Sus scrofa: one gene and its partners. The protein of the gene in region 1 purifies or fractionates together with the protein of each later gene. This does not show direct contact. Links are inferred from orthologs where the notes say so. Each region holds a gene or a part of one and is shown in the gene's direction. Other genes may lie near its edges.

The links.
Region 2: the proteins of SHC1 (region 1) and PRKCD purify together in Homo sapiens (affinity purification with mass spectrometry; 3 studies listed by BioGRID and IntAct, with this or other methods). This does not show direct contact. The link is inferred for Sus scrofa from reciprocal best matches to the Homo sapiens genes SHC1 and PRKCD.
Region 3: the proteins of SHC1 (region 1) and AP2A1 purify together in Homo sapiens (affinity purification with mass spectrometry; 4 studies listed by BioGRID and IntAct, counting the BioPlex papers as one, with this or other methods). This does not show direct contact. The link is inferred for Sus scrofa from reciprocal best matches to the Homo sapiens genes SHC1 and AP2A1.
Region 4: the proteins of SHC1 (region 1) and AP2A2 purify together in Homo sapiens (affinity purification with mass spectrometry; 4 studies listed by BioGRID and IntAct, with this or other methods). This does not show direct contact. The link is inferred for Sus scrofa from reciprocal best matches to the Homo sapiens genes SHC1 and AP2A2.
Region 5: the proteins of SHC1 (region 1) and KDR purify together in Homo sapiens (affinity purification with western blotting; 3 studies listed by BioGRID and IntAct, with this or other methods). This does not show direct contact. The link is inferred for Sus scrofa from reciprocal best matches to the Homo sapiens genes SHC1 and KDR.
Region 6: the proteins of SHC1 (region 1) and SOS1 purify together in Homo sapiens (affinity purification with western blotting; 14 studies listed by BioGRID and IntAct, with this or other methods). This does not show direct contact. The link is inferred for Sus scrofa from reciprocal best matches to the Homo sapiens genes SHC1 and SOS1.
Region 7: the proteins of SHC1 (region 1) and LRRK1 purify together in Homo sapiens (affinity purification with mass spectrometry; 3 studies listed by BioGRID and IntAct, with this or other methods). This does not show direct contact. The link is inferred for Sus scrofa from reciprocal best matches to the Homo sapiens genes SHC1 and LRRK1.

The regions. Positions count from the first base shown.
Region 1 is NC_010446.5:94,821,668-94,825,633, forward strand, and holds the start of SHC1 (SHC-transforming protein 1), read left to right. Parts: upstream 1-1,166; 5' UTR 1,167-1,522; coding exon 1,523-2,017; intron 2,018-2,585; coding exon 2,586-2,656; intron 2,657-3,245; coding exon 3,246-3,309; intron 3,310-3,461; coding exon 3,462-3,581; intron 3,582-3,857; coding exon 3,858-3,911; intron 3,912-3,966. UniProt on the Homo sapiens protein: Signaling adapter that couples activated growth factor receptors to signaling pathways. Participates in a signaling cascade initiated by activated KIT and KITLG/SCF.
Region 2 is NC_010455.5:35,317,179-35,320,461, forward strand, and holds part of PRKCD (protein kinase C delta type), read left to right. Parts: intron 1-325; coding exon 326-454; intron 455-3,054; coding exon 3,055-3,213; 3' UTR 3,214-3,283.
Region 3 is NC_010448.4:54,820,972-54,824,406, forward strand, and holds the end of AP2A1 (AP-2 complex subunit alpha-1), read left to right. Parts: coding exon 1-23; intron 24-1,314; coding exon 1,315-1,438; intron 1,439-1,532; coding exon 1,533-1,649; intron 1,650-1,754; coding exon 1,755-1,824; intron 1,825-2,027; coding exon 2,028-2,162; intron 2,163-2,492; coding exon 2,493-2,570; 3' UTR 2,571-2,935; downstream 2,936-3,435. Other genes in the region: FUZ (protein fuzzy homolog), read right to left, coding at 2,966-3,189.
Region 4 is NC_010444.4:621,708-625,207, forward strand, and holds part of AP2A2 (AP-2 complex subunit alpha-2), read left to right. Parts: intron 1-1,944; coding exon 1,945-2,027; intron 2,028-2,603; coding exon 2,604-2,693; intron 2,694-3,245; coding exon 3,246-3,369; intron 3,370-3,500. UniProt on the Homo sapiens protein: Component of the adaptor protein complex 2 (AP-2). Adaptor protein complexes function in protein transport via transport vesicles in different membrane traffic pathways.
Region 5 is NC_010450.4:41,839,368-41,842,867, reverse strand, and holds part of KDR (vascular endothelial growth factor receptor 2), read left to right. Parts: intron 1-61; coding exon 62-176; intron 177-270; coding exon 271-434; intron 435-2,452; coding exon 2,453-2,609; intron 2,610-3,500. UniProt on the Homo sapiens protein: Tyrosine-protein kinase that acts as a cell-surface receptor for VEGFA, VEGFC and VEGFD. Plays an essential role in the regulation of angiogenesis, vascular development, vascular permeability, and embryonic hematopoiesis.
Region 6 is NC_010445.4:101,321,068-101,324,567, forward strand, and holds part of SOS1 (son of sevenless homolog 1), read left to right. Parts: intron 1-1,771; coding exon 1,772-1,899; intron 1,900-2,693; coding exon 2,694-3,349; intron 3,350-3,500.
Region 7 is NC_010443.5:139,492,694-139,496,925, forward strand, and holds the start of LRRK1 (leucine-rich repeat serine/threonine-protein kinase 1), read left to right. Parts: upstream 1-1,432; 5' UTR 1,433-1,756; intron 1,757-4,232.

The DNA.
Region 1 (3,966 bases):
TCCTATGATTATTTGCTGTCTTTTTATCCTGGGAGATAAATTTAAGGATAGATATTCCGAGGCCAGCCTGGGGGGCTATATATATCTTTCACTCTTTATTTCTTGGTCACTTTCCAGCTGCCTCCATGGCCCCCTCGAGCAGAGCTGGCGTGAAGCTGTGGGTGGAAGGAATGGGTTTGAGACTGTTTCCTGTGTCCAGCCTCAGTCCTCCTTTTCCTGGCACTCCTTTCCCCTTGGCACAGATTGGTCTTCTGCCTACCCTATCCCTTCGTGGCCTGTAGCCCCCGTCCCCCTCCTCTTGGAGAACTGTTTCACTCTCCCCTCCCCAGCCAGACGCTGCCCCTGGCGGGGTGGGGCCTCGGGCTCTGTGGTGGATACCTGTACTCTCTAGGGTCCCTACGGCCAGAGGAGGGGTAGGAGCTTACCTGCAGGTCCAGGGCACTGACGTTAGTGTCAGTGCCCTGGCAGCCCCCACCCCTCCTACCCTTGATAACTTGCTTGGCTGCGGAAAGTGGTGGGGGGCTGCAGAAGGGTGCCTGGCATGAGTTGCTGCTCCTTGGCATGGTAGACGCCATGCAGAGAACAAGCCTCCACCAGCCTGTCGTCTGCTCCGGCTCCTGCCTGGTGGCTCCCTGATGCAACACCCATCATGATGATGAAGTAAGGGACTTCATTCCCTTACTTCACCAGCTCTGCCCTTCCCCTTGGCCCCTCTCTGCATCCACCGGGACCATGTCCTTCCTTTTCCCATTTCTGTAGCTCCCTCCCCGGCTGTTGCAGCGGAGGATGCTAATGACCGAGACTAGGGGGTGCTGGGGGATGAGGGAATCTGAGTGTTCGACCAGGACAGGAAGGGAAATGCTGAGCTCAGGGATCCCCTCCCTTTCCCACCCCCAGCTGCCTCTGTTTCCTCCCTCATTCCCCACTCCCCCCACCAGCTTCCTGCTCCCTTTGACCTGCCCATGTCCGGTTTGGATTGATCCAGACCTCCTCTTATCGCCCTCCTTTCCTTCTCACCCCTCCATCCTTCCCTTCCAATCCCACTCTACTCCTCCCTAGATTACATGTTGTTTGTACGGGGTGGGCCGGGGTGGGGGCGGGGGGGGGGACGGGGGTGGGGCGGGCGGTGGGGGCACGGTGCACTCTGCCCCGAAAGAGTTCTAGGTTGGGGCGGTGTTGGGGGCTCAGCCCCTCAGAGCCTGTGAGTCAGCACTGTCCACGGGATTGGTCTCTCCCCTTTGCTCCCCGCCCCTGGGGAGGAGCCAGGCAGCTCTAGGTCCAGCCTGTTCTCCTCTCAGCCAGAGAAGAGGCTCCACGCTGGGCAGAGATGGGGCCTGGAACTGTCTGGGTCTGAGCCGCGGGAGCCAGAGCCACTTGTCCCTCTCCCTCCCCAGGACCCTTGAGACCCCTGGGCCACAGAGGTCCGATCAGGCTAAGGGCCTGGGGATGCCCCCTGCCTGGCCCCCTTGCCCTGACTGGCAGGGGGGCCAGGCTGGGCAGCAGCCTCCCTCTCACTCCAGCCATGGATCTCCTGCCCCCCAAGCCCAAGTACAACCCACTTCGGAATGAGTCTCTGTCATCGCTGGAGGAGGGGGCTTCAGGGTCCACTCCACCAGAGGAGCTGCCTTCCCCGTCAGCCTCGTCCCTGGGGCCCATGCTGCCACCTCTGCCAGGGGACGACAGCCCCACCACCCTGTGCTCCTTCTTCCCCCGGATGAGCAACCTGAAGCTGGCCAACCCAGCTGGGGGGCGCCCAGGGCCGAAGGGGGAGCCAGGAAGGGCAGCCGAGGATGGGGAGGGGACCGTCGGGGCAGCTGTACCCGACTCGGGCCCCCTACCCTTCCTCCAGGACATGAACAAGCTGAGTGGAGGCGGCGGGCGCAGGACTCGGGTGGAAGGGGGCCAGCTGGGGGGCGAGGAGTGGACCCGCCACGGGAGCTTCGTCAATAAGCCCACGCGGGGCTGGCTGCATCCCAACGACAAAGTCATGGGACCCGGGGTTTCCTACTTGGTTCGGGTGAGTGAGCGTCCTCCCTCCCTGACCCCTTCAGTTCCTCTGCTCATGAGTCTCTCTTTTTCGCCCCTTCTTTTCCCCAGCAACTCCCTTGGTTTCCGTGTCCTGTTTCTTAAGCCTTTTGTGCGCCTTCTCTGATTCTGTAGCCCCTTCTCTTCCAGCTCTGTCTGGGTCCCCTTGGGTCCTGCGACTCCCCCACCCCTACCCCCAGCCTGCCATGCTCAGCACAAAGCCCAGGACAGGCCCTTAGTAAGTGTTGGAATGAGTGGCTCTTGAGTGACTCCCCTCCAGTCTGCTCCCCCTTTCTGGAGTTGTCACTCCATCCCAGCCAGGGCCTGTCGCTCCCCTCCAAATTCCCTCCCCCCACCCCCCACTGTGCAGGAGGTCCTCCTAGCTCGCCCTTCTCTCCTCACCCCCTATTGTCCTGCACTCTGTGGGATGGAGCCACGGGCAGCGGGGCAGAACTTCATCTCTTCTTCCCTGAGGGACCACGTAGGGCAGAGTCCTACGGCCCTTTGTGAAGAGGCTGGAGGGGGGCGGCTGACTCTCCTCCTCGCATCCCTCCCCTCAGTACATGGGCTGTGTGGAGGTCCTGCAGTCGATGCGCGCCCTGGACTTCAACACCCGGACTCAGGTCACCAGGTTCGTGGGGAGGCGGGGCCGAGAGCGCAGGGCTCCTGGCATTCAGGCCGGGAGGGGGTCGCTTGGTGGTGGTGGCTAGTGCTGGCTTGTCTTTGGGTGGGGAAGGCGATTTAGAGACAGGTAGGAGAGTCAGTCTAAGTCTCAATGAAAAGAGACAACTCTGACCCGGCTCCTTCTACGTATCCAGCCTGGGGAGTTGTGGGGGAGGTGGCAGAGGCAGCTGGCAGCTGGAGCTTGAGTGGAAAATGGGGGTAGATGGAAGGTTGCTGCCCGCCGCTGCCGCCGCCACCACCGCCGCCACCACCACTGCCGCCACCACCACCACCACCACCACCACCGCCTTTGGGAAGGGGCTGGGACATTTGGTAGCTGGAAGGGGGTGGGGCCAGACCCACTGAGGCCCTAACCCAATCAGCCAGGAAGCGGCCTCTCAGTGTCATCAAATATTAAAGGCCCTTAATTCAATCCACCACGACAAAGAGCCTGGAGTGCCCCTGGAGTCTGGCCTGGCCTTCCCCTCCCCCAGCCCTGTGGCAGCCCCAGCCGAGTGGGAGGCAGGCTCTGGGTCTGAGTACCCCTCTTTCCCCAGGGAGGCCATCAGTCTGGTGTGTGAGGCTGTGCCGGGTGCGAAGGGGGCGACAAGGAGGAGAAAGGTACCTGGGGTCCACGGCACGGGGGATGCTGCCGGGAGATGCGGAGGAGCAGGGGCAAGGCTAGTGTGGCGCGTGTGGGGAGAAGGGCAGGAGTGCGGGCGGTTTCCTGGTGTGGGATCTCCCAGCTTCTGAGACCTGGGGCCCTTCCCCAGCCCTGTGGCCGCCCACTCAGCTCCATCCTGGGGAGGAGTAACCTGAAATTTGCTGGAATGCCAATCACTCTCACCGTCTCCACCAGCAGCCTCAACCTCATGGCCGCAGACTGCAAACAGGTTGGTGGGGTGGAGTCAGGGTCAGGGCGGGGGGTGAGGGCGTGCAGAAACACCGATGGGAAGGCTCAGTGGGAACCTGGCCACGAGGGCAAGAACTTAGCAGAGAAGCCTTGGGCGCAGCAGAGCTGTAGGGAAGGTGTAGATTAGGAGGACATGGGTTGAGAAGCCAAAGGGACGCTGGGGTCCCGGGCCAGTGGTGGGGGGTGCCCAGTGGACCCTCAGGCTGCCTGACACCCGTCCTTCCCTTCCTTCTCCATCCTCTGCCCTAACCCTCAGATCATCGCCAACCACCATATGCAATCCATCTCGTTTGCGTCCGGCGGGGACCCGGTGAGTCGGGGAGTGCACCAAGGTGGTGGGAGAGGAGAGAGGGGCTTGGGATGGG
Region 2 (3,283 bases), on another chromosome or scaffold:
AGAAAAAAAAAAACCATAAATGTGGATGCTCAGGTGGATGCTCAGGTCTATGCCCAGCAGATAGTAAACACCCAATAAATGGCCACTGCTTTTACTCACAAGTCCTACCAGCTGAGAGTCCTGGCAGCCCCAGTCCTCGCCCTGTTTCTCCAGCAGACCTAGGAATGCAGAGGCCAGAGAGGACCCCTCAGCCTCAGAGGCCCCGGGCCATGGCACCAGGCTGGGCCAGACCAGCCTGGGAACCCCTGGGCCTGCTTGGGGGTTTTCTGAGGCTCTGATTTCCTACAGCCCTTAAGTGCTAACCAGGGCCCCTGCTGGGTTGCAGCTGCTTGAACGAGACACAGGCAAGAGGCTGGGAGTGACAGGGAACATCAGAACCCACCCCTTCTTCAAGACCATCAACTGGACTCTGCTGGAGAAACGTGCAGTGGAGCCACCCTTCAAGCCCAAAGTGGTACGTGATCCCACTCTGGTGGGGGCCGCCTCCTTGGTGTTGCCCACCCCCACAGCCTTCCAGGGTGGGTGCCTCCTCTCTTGCCCTGTCTCTCTCCTGCATCTTTCACATGCCTTCCTCCTGTCCTTTCTCGTAGCAAACCTGGCTTCCCCTGAGTCACAGCCTTTACCCTTGCATTCTCACCCTCTCTTCTCACTCAGTCATTCAACGAACACTGGGGGCTGTGGATTCAGCCACCCTTTAATATACATTCTTTAGCACCCACTGTATGCAAGGAACTGTGCTTTGGGAATCACAGTTAAGGCTTGCCTCCACCCATCCATCTTCCAATAAGCATTATAAGTGCTGAGTGCCTTCTGGATACAGACCACTGTGCAAGGCTGCACAGCAAAGTGGGACATCCCATTTCTAGAGCTGGAAGAGCTCCAGCAGCTCAGAGAGATAAGAAATCTGCACCCTAATGGTCATTTATGATAAATGGCAGTGATATAAGAGATGTCCACACACAATCAGTTGCCCTTGAGAGGGTCTGTCAGCAGGAGCCCAAGATGCAGAGATGGGGTTGGGTCTGAGAGGAAGTAGGATGTATGGGAGGCGTTCCGGGTAGAGGAGGGGTGGTGTGCACAAAGGCCTAGGATCTAGAGGCTGCCAAGGAGCCAGCAGGAGAGCAGAGGCTGGTTGGACTTCCCAAAAGTCGGACTCCGTGGCCCTTGTCTCATCACAGGTCCTCCTTCCTCCCCCTTTCCTCTCCTTTGCTTCCCCTCTTCCATCAGGATTTGTTGTTTCCACTGAGCAGCCCGTAAAAGGTGCCCCCATATTTGTGTCTTGAGGCTGCAGAGCTCTCCACTCCAAGGATCAAACTTGGGTGCCTCCTGCACTGGGCATGTTGCTCCCAGGACAGACTGGCTGTGGGAAAATCCCATAGCCTGCTTTGTCTCTCACTTTTGATAGAAAGGAGGATAGATTTAAACAACAAAGGCAGGTGTGTTGGTCAGCATCCTCTGTCTCTGGGAAGTGGTGGGGCCTGTGATGAGCTGGCCAAGGGGGTTCTAGCACCAAGAGTGGATGCACTTGACAGGAAATGGGACCTAGGCTGCTCTGCTCTGCCAGTTTTCAAAAGAAGCTAGAAATCTGGATTTTTATGTCAAATGGCCCAGTTTAAAAATAATGGCTCGGAATTTCTGTTGTGGCTAGGTGGGTTAAGAATCTGACTGAAGTTCCCGTCGTGGTGCAGTGGTTAACGAATCCGACTAGGAACCATGAAGTTGCGGGTTCGATCCCTTGCCTTGCTTAGTGGGTTAAGGATCCAGTGTTGCCGTGAGCTGTGGTGTGGGTTGCAGACGCAGCTTGGAGCCCCCATTGCTGTGGCTCTGGCTTAGGTCGGTGGCTACAGCTCCAATTGGACCCCTAGCCTGGGAACCTCCTCATGCTGCAGGAGCAGCCCTAGAAAAGGCAAAAAGAAAAAGAATCTGACTACTATCCATAGGGATGTGGGTTCAATCCCTGGCCTCACTCAGTGGGAATCACAGTCAAGGCTCCTGGTATTGCCATGAGCTGTGGCCTAGGTCACAGACACAGCTCGGATCCTGCATTGCTGTGACTGTGGCTGGCAGCTACAGCTCCCACTGGCCCCTGGCCCGGGGAACTTTCACATGCCACAGGTGTGGCCATTAGGAAAAAAGAGGCTCAAATGCCATTAAAACCCACAGCTAATCACAGTGGTTGTACCTGCAGCTCAGTTTCGTCTGAGGTCCACCAGCTTTCTTTCACCCTTTCATTGTACCCTCAGAAGCAGAGAATTGGCTAACTTCCTGCGAAAAGCCTAATAGTAAATATTTTAAGCTGGAGTTCCCATTGTGGAGCAGCGGGAACGAATCCAACTAGGAACCATGAGGTTGCAGGTTCGATCCCTGGCCTTGCTCAGTGGGTTAAGGATCCGGTGTTGCTGTGAGCTGTGGTGTAGATTGCAGACATGGCTCGGATCTGGCATTGCTATGGCTGTGGCATAGGCCGGCAGCTACAGCTCCGATTAGACCCCTGGCCTGGGAACCTCCAATGCCGCATGTGTGGCCCTAAAAAGGCAAATATATATATTTTGGGCTTTGCAAGCCAGATAGTCTCAAAGCAGCTGTAGATGCTACGTCAATGAGTGGGTGTGGTTGTGTGCTAATAAAACTTTATTTATGGACACTGAGATTTGAATTTCATTTGATTTTCATGTGGCATGAAATGTTATTCTCTTTTTTATTTTTTTCCCTAAACATTTAAAAATGCAAAAGCCAATCTTAGCTTGTGGGTCCTGCACAAACAGGTGGTGGATGGGGCTTGGCCAGGACTGTCGTCTGCCAGAGCCTGGCTTGGAGGGATGCCCACCTGGCCTCCTCCAGGTCAGACCCCCACTGCTTGCATCCCTCAGACCCTGGGGAAACAGCAGCCAACTTTACAAGGGAGACTTCTTTTTCAGTTTTCAATAAGGACAGCTCTGATTTGGCCCAGTCCATCAGGGGTTCAGTTTCCAGGGGTGGGTCTCCGAAACTTTGGGAACCTCCAAAAGGTCATCCCTTGAGTCCTGCTTATGTACCCCTGCCCTCTGCTTGCAGAGGTCCCCTGGAGACTACAGCAACTTCGACCAGGAGTTCCTGAATGAGAAGCCACGTCTCTCCTTCAGCGACAAGAATCTCATCGACTCCATGGACCAAACAGCATTTGCTGGCTTCTCCTTCCTGAACCCCAAATTCGAGAGGCTCCTGGAAAATTGAGGTTCCCAGACATGCGCCACCCCTACCCCTACCCCAGCCAGGGAGCTTTGGGTCAGCCAGCTCCTTCTGC
Region 3 (3,435 bases), on another chromosome or scaffold:
CCACCCCGGAGACCTCCAGGCTCATATCCTCTTGGTCTGGCCTGGTTCCCTGGTTCCAGACCCCTGTTGGGCCCTCTTCCTCCAGAGCCTGAGTACATGGTACTTCTCTGAGATCTGGTGTTATCTGTCAGGTGGGGCGGGCCTCTCTCCCGGGACAGGAGGCGACCGTGATGTGATGTGATAGGGATGCGGGAGGTGTTGCTTCCGGAACCCCCTGACCACGTCCCATGGCTCCACACCCATGATCCCAGCCCTTCCTGCCCTGGCTAGCCAGGCCTGGGGGTCTTGATGCTGACCAGGGCCTTCTCCTGTGTGCCCTGGGCCAGTCCCTTGGCCTCTCTGAGCCTTGCTATCCCTTCTGTGAAGTGTGGATTCTCCTCTTCTTTCTCCCAGGCTTGTTTTGAAGATCGGTGTGGTTGGAAAGCCCTGGCAGGGTGGCTGTCGTAAAGGAAGCGCTTGAGCAGTCAGCCCCCTCTCTCCCATCCTCTGGTGCTCAGTTCCCACAGCTGGAAAACTAGTGGATAGTGCCCCCAATCCAAGGACATTTTCCGTTTGTTTAATTCATCAACGTTTCCAGGGAGTTCCCGTCGTGGCTCAGCGGAAACAAATCTGACTAGTATTTTTGAGGACACAGGTTCAATCCCTGGCCTCGCTCAGTGGGTTAAGGATCTGGCATTGCTGTGGCTGTGGCGTAGGCCAGCAGCTGTGGCTCCAATTCACCCCCCAGCCTGGGAACCTCCATATGCCTCGGGTGGCCCTAAAAAGACAAAAAAAAAAAAATTTCCGTATGGCCCCTGTAGGCTCAGCTCTGTGCTGGATGGGGAGTCAGGGACACCCTTGCCTTTGGGTTGTTGACATAAAGGCAGAGGGTGATAACTACCACTATTTCTGTGGACTTACCACGTGCCAAACACACTGACAAGCACTCATGCTGGATTATTTCATTGAATGCTGGGGACACTGAATTCATTTTGCAGATGAGGCTAAGATAGGTTAAGTGACTTGCCCACGGTCACCAAGGTGGTAAGAGCTGGGCTTCAAACCCGGGTCAGCCTTTAGAGCCACAGAGGATCTCCAGTTGCACTACGGGCGTGACCTCTGCAGAAACGGAGGCGTCTGAGCCCAATATGGAAAGTCAGAGGAGGCACCTAGGGGGGTGGGTCCCTGGTTTGGTGTGGAGCCGGGCCTTGGAGGATGAGACCGGGACGGCAGGGTAGGGACTCTCAGAGGCCTGCAGGCTGGGGCTGAGTGTTCTGAACGATTATGGCGAAGACCCCGTCCCGTGCCGCTTCTGGCTTCCTTGACCACCGGCACAGCTGGCCGTGCAGACCAAGCGGGTGGCCTCGCAGGTGGACGGCGGGGCTCAGGTGCAGCAGGTGCTCAACATCGAGTGTCTGCGGGACTTCCTGACGCCCCCGCTCCTGTCCGTGCGCTTCCGGTGAGTCGGGAGTCGGGGCGCTGGCTGGTGGGCGGGGCTTTCCGGGCGAGGGCGTGGTCTAACCCGAGGCCGCTCTCCCCGCGTCTCCCCGCAGGTATGGGGGCGCCCCCCAGTCCCTCACCCTGAAGCTCCCGGTGACCATCAACAAGTTCTTCCAGCCGACGGAGATGGCGGCCCAGGACTTCTTCCAGCGTTGGAAGCAGCTGAGCCTGTGAGCCACGGGCGGCGGGGCCGGGGGGCCAGGGCCGGGGCCGCCCTCGGGGAGGGGCAGGGCGGGGGCTTCCGATCCCCGACCTGAACCTTTCCCGGCCCCCAGACCCCAACAGGAGGCGCAGAAAATCTTCAAAGCCAACCACCCCATGGACGCGGAGGTCACTAAGGCCAAGGTGAGCCAGGCAAGACAGGAGAGGCCCTGCTGGGCTCACACCCCAGCCCCACCTCTCTCAAGGTCTGGGATTTGGGGAGTGGCGGCCGCTCAGCTTCTCTGAGCTTCTGTTTCCCCAGGAGGGTCTGGGGGGATTTGGTGTGTCACTGTCTGGGAGCTAACAAAGCCCGGGCACCCTCTGACGGCCACCCACTTCCTCCCCAGCTCCTGGGGTTTGGCTCTGCGCTCCTGGACAACGTGGATCCCAACCCTGAGAACTTCGTGGGGGCTGGGATCATCCAGACTAAAGCCCTGCAGGTGGGCTGTCTGCTGCGGCTGGAGCCCAACGCCCAGGCTCAGGTGCGTGGTGGTCTGGGAGGCCCCTGCTATGTTCTCTGCACCCCGTCCTCCTGCCTCACTCTGTCCTTTAAGTCATGTGTCCCCGTGCCCCTCCTGTCTCTCCATCCTCCCTGATTTGCATCTCCCCACAGCCTCTCCACTCTTCTTGACCTCTTATCTTTCATCCTGTACCTCCTGTCACCCCGGTCCTTTATGTCACCTTTCTGATCCCTTTATCCTTTTTCTCTCATCATTTATCTGCCCTGTATCCCCCTCTTCCTCCTCCTCTTGGGGGAGGAGCTACCTGCACCATCCCTCTGCCACCTCCCTGAGTCCCACTGTCCCCACCAGATGTACCGGCTGACCCTGCGCACCAGCAAGGAGCCCGTCTCCCGTCACCTGTGTGAGCTGCTGGCCCAGCAGTTCTGAGCCCTGGACTGTGCCCCCGGAGATGTGGCCGGTGCCGGGCAGCCCCCAGGACTGAGGCAGCTGTGGTGGATGGGGCAGTAAGGGGACCTCCGCTGGTGACAGGGAAGACCCTGGGGTGGGGGGATGCCTAGGACCTTCCTCTGGCCTTTTGTATTTTTATTTTTGTTCATCTGCTGCTGTTTACATTCTGGGGGGTAAGGGGGAGCCCCCTTCCTCCCTTCCCCCCCCCCCGAAGCACAGAGGGGAGAGGGGCCAGGGAAGTGGGCACCTCCTCCCCTCCCACCCCACCCCCCGGTAGCCCCTCCTGCCCCCTCCCCATCCAGGGGCTGTGTATTATTGTGAGCGAATAAACAGAGAGACGCTAATAGCCCCGTGTGCGTGTCTGTGTCTGGCGCTCAGAGGAGCGGGGTGAGGGCATGCAGGGTGTGGGTGGCCAGGCCCCGAAGCCCGTGCGTGGGACTCTGAGCAGACAGCAGCAGCAGCAGCCGCCGTGGCCCCAACTGCAGGGCCACCAGCCGCCATCCGATGCCCGGCTCCTCAGGCCCCGACACCAGGTAGCAGGCTCTCGGCACCTGGGCCCGGTGGACCGCCTCCTCCACCTTCTCTGGCTGCCCGGGCTCTGAAGGAAAGACAGGGAGGGCTGGGGTGACCAGTGGGGCCTGGACCCCTAGGATGCCAACCTGCGTGGGAGTCTCCCCCATCTTGGGCCCAAGTTTGACTCCTGACAGAGGGGAGCCCCACAGCTCCAGCTGGCTGTCAGGACCTAAGAGGTCACGGACTTTCTGCCCTCTTCCTACCCAGCCTCCGTCCCCCACTTTCCTGGCGATCCTGTGTATGCAAGCGCCAGGCGATCCCCTTGGCAATA
Region 4 (3,500 bases), on another chromosome or scaffold:
GTCTCCCGTGTCTGGGGGCGGGGCGGGGGGGACGACTCTGCCCTGGCCCCCGGCCCAGGCCACGGCCGGGCTCCGCCGGGCCCTCCTCCCGGGCCCTCCCGGGCTCTGCCGGGCCGGCCGCCAGCCGCGTCCTGTTTGCTGGGGCCCCTGTGGCCTCGGCGTCCCTGGCCTCTTCCCCGCTCTTGCCCTCGAGCCGCCCTGCCTCCCCTGGCTTCCCACCACGGGTCTGCCTTCCGGGCGCCCCTGGCCTCGTCCTCAGGAACGCTCTGCAGGGGCAGGGCGCTGCCTTCTCCTGAGCGCCGTCTCCACCGCCCGCCTCCTGCCTCTCTCCGACCTGCGTCCGTCCACGGGCCTGGCTTCCTGCTGCCGGCTTTGCCCCCTTTCCCCGTTTTCAAAACGGATCCCAGGCTGCTCCTCCCAGCATGTCGGCTCCCCCATCTCTCTGGCTCTGGGGATCCTGGGCCTCTGCCCTCCTCACGCTGCCCTCTCTCTGCTGATCTGAAACCCCGCCGGGGCGGGGGGAGCCCGAGGGAGACCTGAGTCTCCAGGGACCCCGCCAGCGGAGTTAGGACGGCAGAGGGCTTCCTTTACGGTTCCCTGGTCTCTGGGTCGACAGCGCGGCTAATTCTTTGCCTTGCGGGCTGGAAGCGGCTGGGGCCGGGCAGCTTGGAGTGCTGCTCGCCTTCTGTCCCGGGCTGAAAACAGACTTTAAAAAACTGAGGTATGGTTGATGCACTTACTGGTTTCAGATGTACCACAGAGCAGTTCCCAGCTTTAAAGATTTTATTCCACTTAAAGTTGTGATAAAAGAGGGGGTTATTTCCGTGGGTTGCACCGTAGGTCCTTTTAGCTTATCTGCCTACTGGGTGCGTCTCAGACGCTCCCCCCACCCCACTGGGAACCACCAGCCTGTTCTGGGTGTCTGCTTGGTCCTGCGGCGTCATCCTCGTTTCGTTTCAAAGTCCACGTGTGCCGCTGCCGCGGTGTCTGTCTGTCCCTGACTTACTTCGCTCAGCGTGACACCCTCCCGGCCCGTCCGTGTTGTTGCAGATAACGAAGTCTCATTCTTTCATGGCTGAGTGGTGCCCCCAAGTCCGTACACACCACATCTTTATCCATCCTTTACTTTTTTGTCTTTTCGGGGCCATACCCATGGCGTATGGAGGTGCCCAGGCCAGGGGTCACATCGGAGCTGCAGCTGTCAGCCTACACCGCAGCCGCAGCCGCGCCAGATCCCGGCCGCGTGTGCGGCCTGCTCCACAGCTCACGGCAACGCCAGATCCTTCACGCACTGAGCGAGGCCAGGGACCGGACCTGCAACCTCGTGGTTCCTCGTCGGATTCGTTCACCACTGCGCCACGACGGGAACTCCTGGGCTTTCTTTGCTTTCCATGTTTTCTTCTAGGAGTTGTACGAGTCCAGATCTCACGTTTAGATCTTTAATCCTTTTGCGTTATCCTTGTATGTGGTGTGGGAAGGTGTTCTGCTCTTCTTCTTTTACACGTGGCGTCCAGTTTTCCCAGCGCCGGGGACATCGGGGCGGAGAGGGCTCAGTGGCATCGGCCGCGTGGCCCGCGGGGCAGCCAGGCGGGGCTGTTGGCCATACGCAGGCTGGAGGCCGGTGCCTGGTGGAGGGCGAGCCTGCGGTCCGACCTGAGCGTGTGCGTGTGCCCTGGAGCCCTTGTCCTGAGTCAGCGGGCAGCCGCAGGTGGTTGGCGGGCGCTTGGTGAGGAGCAGAAGGACTGACCCTGGCCCGGGGCCACGTCTCGGGTCGCGCCCGTCTCTAGCGGGGGGCCTTCGTGCTGTTCGGGCTTGTTTTCCTCCTCCCCTCACGGCCCAGAGAGGCTTTGCCGGACCCCGTGTTCTTTACACCCTTTCTCAGAACGAATCTTTGTATTTGGGGCGGCGGCTTTGGGTGGGTCACACGCTGTCTCTTGTCCCCAGGTTTGTCTGTAAGAATAACGGAGTCTTGTTCGAAAACCAGCTGCTTCAAATTGGACTGAAGTCCGAGTTTCGGCAGAACTTGGGTATGTGTTTAACTGAGTGGAAGCGTCTCTTAGAAGTTACGGGGAGAAGGTATTTTCTGATTAGGTATCTCATAAGGGTCTAGTTTCTGGAATGTGTAGAAGACTCCCAATCAACAACAGGAAAACAAGCAGTTAAAACCGCGGGTGGCCTCCCTGGCCGCACAGCGGGCCAAGGATCCAGTGTTGTCACCACTGTGGCGTGGGTTTGATTCCTGACCCAGGAACGTGCACATGCGGCAGGCGCGGCCAGCGACCCCCCCCCCCCCCGAAAACAACTCCAAAGGCTTTTTGCGCCCCCTCCCCCCAGCCTTTCCCATCTCTGGGCCCCGCCTGCAGCCTGGTCTAGACGCGGGGCAGGCGGGGAGGCGGGGGGGCCCCCAAAACCCAGGGGGCGGTTTCGTCCTCGGCCGGTGGGGGCTTAGACGCTGGCCGTGGCTTCTGAGCTCGGGGAGGGTATTGCCCCTGCCATCCTGTCCAGGATGGGCGGCTCTCAGCCCTTCCTGGCTCGGAGGCGCCCCCGGCGTCTCTGTCGGGGCGCCGAGGACCCGCTGGCGAGCCGGCTCTCCCGCCTCCCAGGTCGCATGTTCATCTTTTACGGAAACAAGACCTCCACGCAGTTCCTGAGCTTCACGCCCACGCTCGTCTGCTCCGACGGCCTCCAGGCCAATATCCTTGTGCCGTGGCCCCGGCCCTCCGGGGTCCAGAGGCGGGTTTTGAGGTTCTGTGTAGGGGTAGGAAGACGCGCCTGCAGCCTCAGGGTACCCTCCCGGGCCCCGGGTGTGCGGGCGCCGCCTGGGAGGGGCACGCAGGCCTGGCCTGGCCCCCCAGCTCCAATCCCCGCCAGGCAGCGTGAGGGCCGGGGCGCCTGAGACCTCCTGAGGCCCGAGGCCTGGGACGTGAGCTGCTCCCGCCACCGTCAGTCAGCCTCGCTGCCCAGATGTCCGCTCTGGCGCGGGGGCCGCTCGGGGAGGTGAGGGGAAGGCCCGGCTGGGCCACGGAGACGCAGCGCGGCCTGGCCATTCCTGCGTTAGGGGAGTGTGTTTCACACTCAGACTCTTAGAGGCCGACGTGTGGGTGGTCGCTGCAAAGGCGCGCGTGGAAGGCTGCGGCCGGATCAGGACGTGCCCCCCCCCTCCCCCGCGCGCCTCTGCCCCTGGGGCCCACTTGGCCTGGCCGGCCGCCTTCCCCGCGCTGCCCCGGCTTCCTTGACCCTCGCACATCTGAGCCTGCGGACCCAGCCCGTGGGCCCCACCGTGGACGGGGGCGCACAGGTGCAGCAGGCCGTCAACATAGAGTGCCTGTCCGACTTCGCAGAGGCGCCCGTGCTCAGCGTCCAGTTCAGGTGGGCCTGGGGTCGCCGGCCGCGCCTGCCGGACTGCCCCCTCCTCCCTAGGGTGTGGTCGGCGGGGGCTGCAGGGAGCCTGTGGGGGCGGGGGCGAGAGGGCGCCTAGGGTCCGGGGCGCCTCCTTCCAG
Region 5 (3,500 bases), on another chromosome or scaffold:
CCAAAAGGCCATTTATAAGAAGTTAACATTTATGAGAAAACTTATTTTTATTTTCTTCCAGAAAAGCCTTTTGTTGCTTTTGGCAGTGGCATGGACTCTTTGGTGGAAGCCACCGTGGGAGACCGCGTCAGAATCCCTGTGAAGTACCTGGGTTACCCTCCCCCAGAAATAAAGTGGTAACTACTGAAAATAAATGCAAAGCATTGTTCCACATGGAAGCAAATCCCCAGAGGGTACTGATTCCTGTTTTGTTCCCCCCTCCCCAAACAGGTATAAAAATGGAAGACCCATTGAGTCCAATCACACAATCAAAGTGGGGCATATACTGACTATCATGGAAGTGAGTGAGAAGGATACCGGAAATTACACTGTCGTCCTTACCAATCCCATTTCAAAGGAGAAACAGAGCCACGTGGTATCTCTGGTTGTGAATGGTAAGTCCATTCATTTTTCCGGAGCACTGCTGTTGAAATCAGGTGTGGGGCCATGTGCTCTGGATGCATTTGCTTAAGAGGCCACGAGAATGAACCGTTTGGTGGTCAGATGCAAAACTCAAGTAGATGGTACAGCCAGTGGCTAAATGCTGTGGAACAAGAGTGTCTGCAAGTTGCACTACCTTTTATTTGTGAACCTGGCACTCAAATGTGTACAACTCTTCTTGAATTTTGTGAGACGCTTATAGTTTGATGTCAGGGTTGATGTAGCAGTGATGCACAGGCAGATTCCAATGCATAGGCATTTGCAGGAGGACGTCGTTGGCTGGTTGGAAGCTTTGTAATTTTTTTAAGTAATAGGCTAGGTAGGATCTGACTCTGAGGCTATAAAAAGGAGATACTAAGTTTTTGATTTAAAGTGATTTGAACTTTATTTTTCCAAATGGGGAGATGTAAATAAGTGTTTTGCATGAGGGGAAAAGGGCCTTATGGTCAAGTAGGTGTGGGAGATGCTAGGGGGGTGGATGTCGTATGCCGCCATACGCCGGCGGGGAGAAACATAGAGTAGCCAAGACTTAATAAACTTACTTGACCAGAGTTCCCCTACCCCACACAGCCTTTAATATCTTGCTCCAAACAGAGTTTGGGAAATTCTTCTCTATTGGAATTCTTTGTGCTTTCTACTGGCCCAGCAGATTAAGACTTCAGGATCTTGCGAGTTCTCATCATGGCTCAGCAGTAATGAACCCAACTAGTATCCATGAGGATGTGGGTTCGATCCCTGTCCCTGCTCAGTGGGTTAAGGATCCGGCATTGCGGTGTAGGTTGCTGACGCAGCTTGGATCCTGTGTTGCTGTGGCTGTGGCGTAGGCTGGCAGCTGGAGCTCCGACTGGACCCCTAGCCTGGGAACCTCTGTATGCCTCGGGTGCAGCCCTAAAAAACAACAACAAAAAGACTTGAGGATCTTCTCATATGACCTTAAAGTGCTTCCCCAAATATCCTGCCAAGCTCTGTATGTGTGCTGAGCTTGGCTTCATTTCTTTGGGGCATCAGCTTCAGGGAGTATTTTTAACATAATAGTTTCCAGAAATGTCATTTAGAAGCCACTCGAGCGTAGGGGCTTGGGGAGTGGAGAGAAGCAGGGAGGCTAAGTAGGGTGGGCAGAAGGAAATGAATAGGAAATAAAGATGTAAAACTGGACAGGGAATAATTCCATCTCACCCAGGAAGTCACTAAATATTTGATTCACTCTAGCATTTACCTTGCTCTATTATGCAAATGTAAAAGAGGAGTCATGTTTTGAAGGTATAATCTGAGGCTTTAGGTTGATAGTGATGAGAAATAATTTCACATGAATGGCTTCGAGTCAAAGAAAAAAAAGAAAGAAAAGGGGAGGGAGAAAGAGGGAAGACAAGAAAGGAAAGGAGGGAGAGAAGGAAGAGAATAAGAAAGGAAGGGAGAGAAGAAGGAAGGGAAGGAGGGAGGAGGAAGGAAGAAGGGAAGAAGGAGGGAGAGAGGTGTGCGGGGTGACCTTGGGCAAGTCATTTCACTCTCATTATCTTTCACTTTTCTCATGTGTAAAGTGGAGGACAGTAATAGTGGTTGTGAGGATTAAATGAATTAATTGATGTAAAGCACTTAGAACACTGCTCACACATAATACATGTATGTACTGGATTAATCACCACTAATTTTTTTTCACTGAAGCTTGGTCTGATTTGTGAGATTGAAAGGACTATCCTTATAACATGGTTTTGAAAAAGTGAGGCACAGGGTGGCGAGACTTGCACAAAGTCACTCAGTTTATTAATTTATTGATATTATTAAAATCATGAACATCACTCTGAATATCATTAGAAGTCAGGTGTCCTGTCTCCCAGTCGACATGTTCTTTGAAAAAGCAAATGGGGGCAAAAATCCCATGTTTGGAAAGACAAAGGCTTTAATTTCTGACAACATCTACTTTCCATGCCTCGTAGCTGATTTACAATTCAAAAGCTGTCTCTCTCATCTCCAGTCCCACCCCAGATTGGTGAGAAATCTCTGATCTCCCCCGTGGACTCTTACCAGTACGGCACCTCCCAAACGCTCACCTGCACAGTCTATGCTGTTCCTCCCCCGAGCTACATCCACTGGTATTGGCAGCTGGAGACCGAGTGCTCCTATAAGCCCACGTGAGTAGAGCCACACCCTCTTTTTTCCTGTCCTTTTGTGTTTTTAAAAATTTTTATTCTTTTGTTGTATGTTTTAGATCCCACATGTAAGTGATACCATACGGTATTTGTCTTTCTCTGTCTGACCTATTGACTTAGTAGAATAGCCTCCAGTCCATCCATGTTGCTGCACATAGCAAAATTTCTTTCTTTTTTATGGCAGCATAGTATTCCATTGTGTATATTGTGTGTGTGTGTGTGTGTGTGTGTGTGTGTGTGTGTATCATATCTTCTTTATCCATCCATCTGTTGATGGACACAGCCAAGCTACAATATGACCCCATTCTAAGTAGAGAGGGCTCTCTCTAAGAAAGTCACTCCTCAAGTAGTACCTTTAATGTCCCTCCATCTTTCTCTGTGGTTGTTTTTGGGACATGTTTTTCTTCTAGATATCCCACTTCGAGATTAGCTAACTCTCTCGTCATATTAGCCTTCATGTCCACCTCTGCAAATGCCGTTTCTTTGTTCACTTTGTTTATGGCCAGTCTTTGGCTTTTCTGTTTACCAATCAACCAGTGACTGTCACAATCTCCTTATCTGTGAGAAGGTCCATCTCAGAGGAAGTGCCAGTGGATGCAAGAGAACGATAGACCTTGGAGTCTCAGGCCTGGCTTATCAGGTCCTAACACAAGTCCAGACATCCTTAGGAAAAAAACAACAACAAGTCACCCACCACCACCCTAAGCAGTTCACTTCCTGTTGTTGTTTTTGAGATGGTCTCTCCTAGTTTCTTCCTCAGATGCTGACCATTTCCTACACAAAGGCCACAGTCCCAGGGAGATTACTTTAAGAAGCCCAGTGGCTTCTTAGTTTCCTTGCCTTCCTTTGAACTAAATTAACTTGAATTGTCTT
Region 6 (3,500 bases), on another chromosome or scaffold:
CAGCCCCTAGCCTGGGAACTTCCATATGCCATGGGTGTGGCTTTAAAAAGCCAAAAAAAAAAAAAAAAAAAAAAAAACCATTTTTTTAAATAAGTTATTTTTGTAAAAATGGTTTGGAGCATTGAGTAAGAATATGTTTACTTTTCATAGGTCATCAATATACATCATATGTATGTGTATATATAACTAATCTGTATCAGTTCAAGCAAAAAAGAAATGTGTTATTATTCTTTAAGAAATAACTCTCGGAGTTCCTGTAATGGCTCAGCAATTAGCGAACCTGACTGACATTCATGAGGACCCCAGTTCAATCCCTGGCCTCATTCACTGGGTTAAGGATCTGGCGTTGCCATGAGCTGTGGTGTAGGTCACAGGTGGGCTCAGATCACATGTGGCTGTGACTGTGGCGTAGCCCTGCAGCTATAGCTCCGATTTCACCCTTAGCCTGGGAATCTCTGTATGCGGCAGGTGCAGCCCTAAAAAGACAGGAAAAAAAAAAAAAAGAACTCTCAAGAACAAAAAGTACTAATGAATAATGAAGCTCATTGAAAAGTAAGCCTTTGTAAATTTGAATTTTTTATGATTTTCTCAAGTCTTTTTCTTTATGATAGACAGTAACTGTTCTTAAATGTTGTATGAAAGCTTTATTAATAAATGTTACTTCTTGGAGTTCCCTGGTGGTACAGCAGGTTAAAGATCCAGTGTTGTCACTACTGTGGCGTGAGTTCGCTCCCTGACCTGGGAACTTCCACATTCAGGCATGGCCAGAAAAAATATGTTAGTTTCTTAACTTTTCCTTTTTGGTAGCCACAAACAGATTTATAAGGTTACTGAATTATTGTCACCTATTGTCATTCATAACTCAATTGCTTTTTTGAATTACCACCACCTTGTCGCAATGATAATTAGCCATTATTGATGACTCAGTCCTTGTTAAAAACAGACTCTTCTGTCCAGCGTATGTAATATATTTAGCCACTGATTGAAAACGTGCTTGAGTTTTACTAACATGTATGATCCTAGTTTTATTCAAAATCTTAACATATGAATATTGACAAGGTTCTTCATGATAGTAACATTAATTATGTAGTAGAACTGCAAAGAAAACAACTTACACTGTACATTTACAGAATGCTTTCATTTTTAATAACAACGCCATAAAATAGATTGGGGAAGCTTTTTATAAGCCTCATTTGACATATAAGAAATATGAGGCTCAGAAGTCATATAATTTTCCTGAAAGATCACACCGAAAGTGAGTTGAATTTTATCTTAGGTTTTGTGTCTTCAGGTTCCTCTCCACTATGTTGCTTCATTCTCTGTATATTTATCTTGCATAGCATCCCATTGCTTACAGCAGTAGTGTGGGAATCAGAATTCTAAGAGCAAATTACACACTTCAAAAAAGACTCACCTGTGTGTTTACTTCTGTGCCACGTCCTATGATAGTTAAAAGATAATTTTTCCTCCTCATTTCTTTTTGGTAGTATGCATCTGAGAAACTGCACATTACTCCCTATCACAAGATATGATGTCTTTTAACACTGTTTCTACTCCTTTTTTTTTTTAACATGGAAAACTTGGTGGGATGTTGATTTGGATAGTAATACATAGGAAGACTTTTTAAAAGAGTAGTATATTTTATGACGTTTAAAATGTATTACAGTAGAAAGAGTTGAATCAATGTTATCTTTATCCTTAAATAAAATAGGCTTATTTTTTTGTACAGAACTGTTCTGCTTGTTCAGATTTGTCATTTTTTACTTTGCAGCAGTTAGAAGAGAAGAGTGAAGATCAAGAAGACAAGGAATGTTTGAAACAAGCAATAACAGCTTTGCTTAATGTTCAGAGTGGTATGGAAAAAATATGTTCTAAAAGTCTTGCAAAACGAAGACTGAGGTGAATAATTTCACTTTTTAAATTATCTTCCTTTTCACCCTGAATATTGTGGTATAAATTAAGGGATCCTAGTCCCTACTCAAGTAAACAATGAAGAAAATAGTGTTAGTGACAAGCTTGGTCTTTCAAAGGAAGTGACATCAAAGCCAAGAGAATTTGTTATTGTTTGAAAAACCTTTCATATTTGTGCATTTTCCTTGCATACTCCCAGACAAGACCTCCTGAGAATCAGCTGGTAAGCTAAAGGAGAAATACAATGTATTGGGTAGGTTTATGTCAATCTCTGAAAATAAAATTAGTAGTGTTCTTTATTTTAGGGACTTTGTAACTCAAGGCATTAATTCAGATAATATACTTCCAGTTTCCTAGTTATTATGTGTGCATGTTTTTTAGCTTTTAGATATTGTCCACTTAAGCATTCCTAGATAATTTTTAATCTCTTAAATTACTTTAATCTCTTTTTTTTTTTCACTATATTGGGCTACTTTTTTAATATTTGTCATTCTAAGTATTTAATAGCCGTAGTAGAAATAATCATTCTGTAGCTAAATTTATAGGGGAGAATTTTGTCAATAGCCAACTGTTCTTTTTAAAGCACTAAAAAAAAAAAATGTCTCTACGGTATTGATTTAGTTTCCAAAATTGTGCAGTTCTGTTAACACTAACATATTTGGAGAATTAGTGAAAACCTTCTCAATGCAATGTTTTTAAATATACTTTTGCATTTCCATTTATTTACATGAATTATAGATTCCCTGTCTTCTGTGTACTAACTGTTTTTTCCTTTATCCCAGTGAATCTGCATGTCGGTTTTATAGTCAACAAATGAAGGGGAAACAACTAGCAATCAAGAAAATGAACGAGATTCAGAAGAATATTGATGGTTGGGAGGGAAAAGACATTGGACAGTGTTGCAATGAGTTTATAATGGAAGGAACTCTTACACGTGTAGGAGCCAAACATGAGAGACACATATTTCTCTTTGATGGCTTAATGATTTGCTGTAAATCAAATCATGGGCAGCCAAGACTTCCTGGTGCTAGCAATGCAGAATATCGTCTTAAAGAAAAGTTTTTTATGAGAAAGGTACAAATTAATGACAAAGATGACACCAGTGAGTACAAGCATGCTTTTGAAATAATTTTAAAAGATGAAAATAGTGTAATATTTTCTGCCAAGTCAGCTGAAGAGAAAAACAATTGGATGGCAGCGTTGATATCTTTACAGTACCGGAGTACACTGGAAAGGATGCTTGATGTGACAATGCTACAGGAAGAAAAGGAGGAGCAGATGAGGCTTCCTAGTGCTGATGTTTATAGATTTGCAGAGCCTGACTCTGAAGAAAATATCATATTTGAAGAAAACATGCAGCCCAAAGCTGGAATTCCAATTATCAAAGCAGGAACTGTTATTAAACTTATAGAGAGGCTCACATACCATATGTACGCAGGTAAGAAATATGAACTTGCCTATCACTTTTATTTTCCTGTTCAGGCTGATTTTTCTTCGCTGCACAGGTCATTGTGCCTAAAATAGAAATCAGACTAACAACAAAAGACCTCCGCATTATCAGAGTTCATCTTCTTCTGATTTAAAATACT
Region 7 (4,232 bases), on another chromosome or scaffold:
GAAGCAGAAAGATGAAGTTCCTTGGTGGCCTAGTGGATTAGGGATCTAGTGTCACTGCTATGGCTCTGGTCACTGCTGTGCCACAGATTCCAACCCTGGCACTGGAACTTTCCCATTCCCCAGGCAAGGCCAAAAAAAAAAAGCAGTGGAAATCTTAACTGACCTAGCAATGGCCCCCTGTAAACCTGTAACTAACACACGCCTAACGGATGGAGTTAAATGCTGGTATATAATCAGCTTGAAACAAGCCCCCTGTGTGTAGACTATCCCAACGGTTTTCTACAGTGGAGACATTTCCAAGACGGTTCCCAGGCTTACTTAAAAGGGAAATTGAATTGCTGCCCCCCCCCCATTGGCCACGTCCACTAGTTGTCTGCTCAAGCACTGGGCATGCACTTCCTCACGGTGCCGCTAGATGGCAGGGCCGCGCGCCCTTGGGGCGCTTTGTGGAGATTCGCGGGCTCACTCAACACCGTGGACGCCACGCCTTGCAAATTATTAGGGACTTTTCGGTAGCAATCATATTAACGCCTTTTGCATACTGGAATTAGAACCGCGGTGATGAGGGTAGGATTGCAAAACTGCACCCACCCTTTTGAAAGGGCGTCCAGTCCAGGAGAATTAGAGGGACAACCTCTTGGGAGTAAAGCAAAGCTGCCCGGCGGTCCCCTCGCCAAAGAGGGGCCCAAGGAGCTTGTCCGAGGGGCCACAGTCCTGGGTTTCCGCGAGGTGACGTGATGGCCCTGCAGCTGCCTGGCTTTTGTGAAATGGAAGTAAGGGTGGTGGCAATTTGTCTTTGTGCCTTGGGGTAAATCCTGGGAATGTTCTAGTCGTAACACTACGTGAGAGGAGCCTAGGAGGCAGGTCCTGCCAGGGTGAAGAATCATCTGCTTTTTTCCAAACCGGCTTCTCTTTACCCGGTGGGCACATGGAGCCAAATCCATGCCTGTCTGCAAGCATGGACATACATCTTTATGCTCTGCGTTTGTACAATGGCCTCACTGGTGGGAACATAGTTAAGGTAGCTTGAAACATAATAAACTGCCTATATGCCCCAATGTTTATCTACCACCTCCCCCCTCAAAAATAACCCCAGGCAATTTAAAATGATTCACCAAACAGTGACATATTTGTATACATCCATAATTACATTAGTAAATTCATGTGGTAGAAGGGGTGCAGTTTGAAAACTATTAAAGCTTTAAAGTTACACATTTCTAGTCTGCTCTATAGTTTTACACAAATGAATATTCCCGTCTTTTCCATATTTACTGCCAGAGTATACGATCTACATATATGAGTCAGAGGTTCATCAGCGGATTTTGCAGCGGAGCGGATCAGAGGGGCAGGGGAAGCTGGGTTGAGCAGAGAACGACCACTCTCAGCGCCGCGCCCGCCCCGCGTGGAAAGCAGGATGTCCCAAAGCGGGAAGGGCCGGGGGGCCTCCGGGCCAGGAGCAATGAGCGCGATCGCCTGGGATTTGCAGCAGGGAAACTGAGGCGGGAGGTCGGGGAGGTGGTGGTGGGGGTGCTCCCCGAACCAGTTCCTTGGCAACGCCGCCGCTCCGACCCTCGCTACGCACCCTTCGCGCCGCCTGCCGCCCGCCCTCCTCAGGATTGAGGAAGTGTGTGTCTGGCCCGGCCCCGCGAGCGGCCAGAGGCGCAGGGGCGGAGGGCAGAGGGGCGGCCCGGCCCGGATCCGCCGTCTTCCTCCCCGCCCGCGCTCAGCGCAGAGTCCAAGGCGCCGGCCGCCTCAGGTAAGCGCCGCCGGGCCCGCGCCCCGCCAGGGGACCCGCCGCCAGGCCCCGGGCGCAGGGCGACCCCAGGGCTCATGGCCCCGCCGCCTGCCGCCGCGCTCACGGGGCACGAGGCCCAGGCGGGGAACCCGAGACCCCCCGGGACGGGGCCCGGGCAGGGAGAGCAGACTCGAGCAAGGAGTACTTCTCCCTCCGCCTTTGGAAAAACTCGCTTCCTTCAAGTCGGAGTGGCCGTGAGAGCGCGTGTGCGTTGTGTGAGCCTGAGAGTGAATGTGCTTGTGAGCGAGAGTGTAAGCTGAGTGTGAGCGCGGGGGTGTGGGGAAGCAGCAGCTCCCTGCCCCGACGGCCTGGTGCGCGACGGCCGGCGCATCTTCATCCCACCCTCAGGCTGAGGCCCTCTTCTGGCCTGAGGGTCGGATCTCCGGCGGTGCGGATAAAACCCCGCCACCACCTTGGCGGTCTCTGCGGCGACCTCCCGGCAGAGGCGCAGGAGATGAGCGCGGATGTGGTGGAATGAGGAAGGGAGCCGAGGAAGGCAGCCGAGGAAGGCTGCCGAGGAAGGCTGGGGGTCGGAGGGATATGATAACGAATAATTGGGCGACTTCTGTGCTGGGCTCGACCAGCCCCTCTTTGTTTGAGGTCAAGAAGCTTTTCTCTCAGGAGCACATCCCCCTGCAGGGGTCTGAGAAGGAGAGATACGGGAGCCTGTAGTTTGTTTTTGGTGAGCCTCTCACCAAACACACCATTTTCAGACTTTGTCACTTATTGTGTCCAAATTCCCCTGGGCCTTAAGGGGACAACTAGAATATGCAGGATTTGGAAAAATGTTAACATTCCCCTCCTTTGGTCGTTTGGCTTCATTATCTTTGTTTATGCCCCGGAAGAATAAAAAAGTTAGAAACATACAAACCTCACACCTAATTTGTCCTGCAGAAGGTTTTGGGGGCCCTGCCCCAAGCCTCCACATCTCAGGGGGTGGCCTCATACTAAAGGTAGTAGGCACAGTTGCTCAGATCAAAAACCTAGGAGTCGTCCCTTGTCCCAACTCCTCATTCCTTGAATTCAATGGTTAGCAAGTCCTGTTGGGTCTCAAAGGTGTGTGGGGTCCATCCCCTTCCTTTTTATGGCCCACTCTAGTCCAAGCCACCAGCATCTCTTACCTGTGCAATTGCAGTGCTTCCCATACGCCCAGTCTCCATTTGGCAGCCATGGTGATTTTTTTTTTTTTAAGGTAAATTCGAGAGTGTCAGTCTTCTGCTTGTAACCCTTCAATAACATCTCCTTATGCTTGTCACGAAATCCAGAAGACCTCCTCCCGTCCGCATCCCTGCAGCTGATCTGGCTTCTGCCGTCTCAGATCACCTGGCCATTGCCTCCCCACCCAGCCACCCCCTCTAAACCCAGCCTCACTCTCACATCTCTCTGTGTATGTCCTTGCAGTTGCCAATGGCTGTGTGTTCCTACTCTATCTTTTGAATTACTCCTTTAATTTACCTGAAAGTCTCCATTGGAGACTCCAGGTGTCAGAGACCTTTCCAGAGTCCCTGCTCACTGTTGCATCTTCACTCCCAGAGCTGCTCCAGAGGGTTCCAAATGCATACAGGTAGAGAGACAGTGGTGGAAAGACAGTATGAACTTGTTTGTGGCTTTAGGCTCACAAAGGGCTTCTGTTCTCATCTGGGCCTGAGAACTACACATTTCTACGGTTTGTAGCACCGTAATATTTTGATGTCTACAAATCTATTAAACACATTTTGTAGGCAAGCCAGTAGTGGTCAAGGAGGCTAGTTGTGCCAAAGGGATGTCTCGGACCATGGGCCAACCATCTCAACCAGGCTTTTGATTCAAAAAAAGACCTGGGAGTTCCCGTCGTGGCGCAGTGGTTAACGAATCCGACTAGGAACCATAAGGTTGCGGGTTCGGTCCCTGCCCTTGCTCAGTGGGTTAACGATTCAGCGTTGCCGTGACCTGTGGTGTAGGTTGCAGATGCGGCTCAGATCTCGCGTTGCTGTGGCTCCGGCATAGGCCGGAGACCACAGCTCCGATTGGACCCCTAGCCTGGGAACCTCCATATGCCGCGGGAGCGGCCCAAGAAATAGCAAAAAGACAAAAAGACAAAAAAAAAAAAAAAAAAAAAAAAAAAGACCTGGGTGGGAGTTCCCGTGTGGCTCAATAGGTTAAGGACCTGATGTGTCCCTGAGAGATATGGGTTTGATCCCTAGCCTCACACAGTGGGTTAAAGATCTGGTGTTGTTGCAGGCTTCATCCTAGGTCACTGAGGCGGCTCTAATCCAGGGTTGCCTGTGCCACAGCTCTAGCTCTGATTCGACCCCTGGCCTGGGAACTTCCATATGCTGTGGGTGTGGTGCAGCTGTAAAAAGGAAAAAAATAAAAAAAAAATAAAAGGCTGGATGATAAGAGCATTTCTAACATGCTTCACTTGTGCAAGTTTCTTCAGGCTCTTTGGTATCTGCAC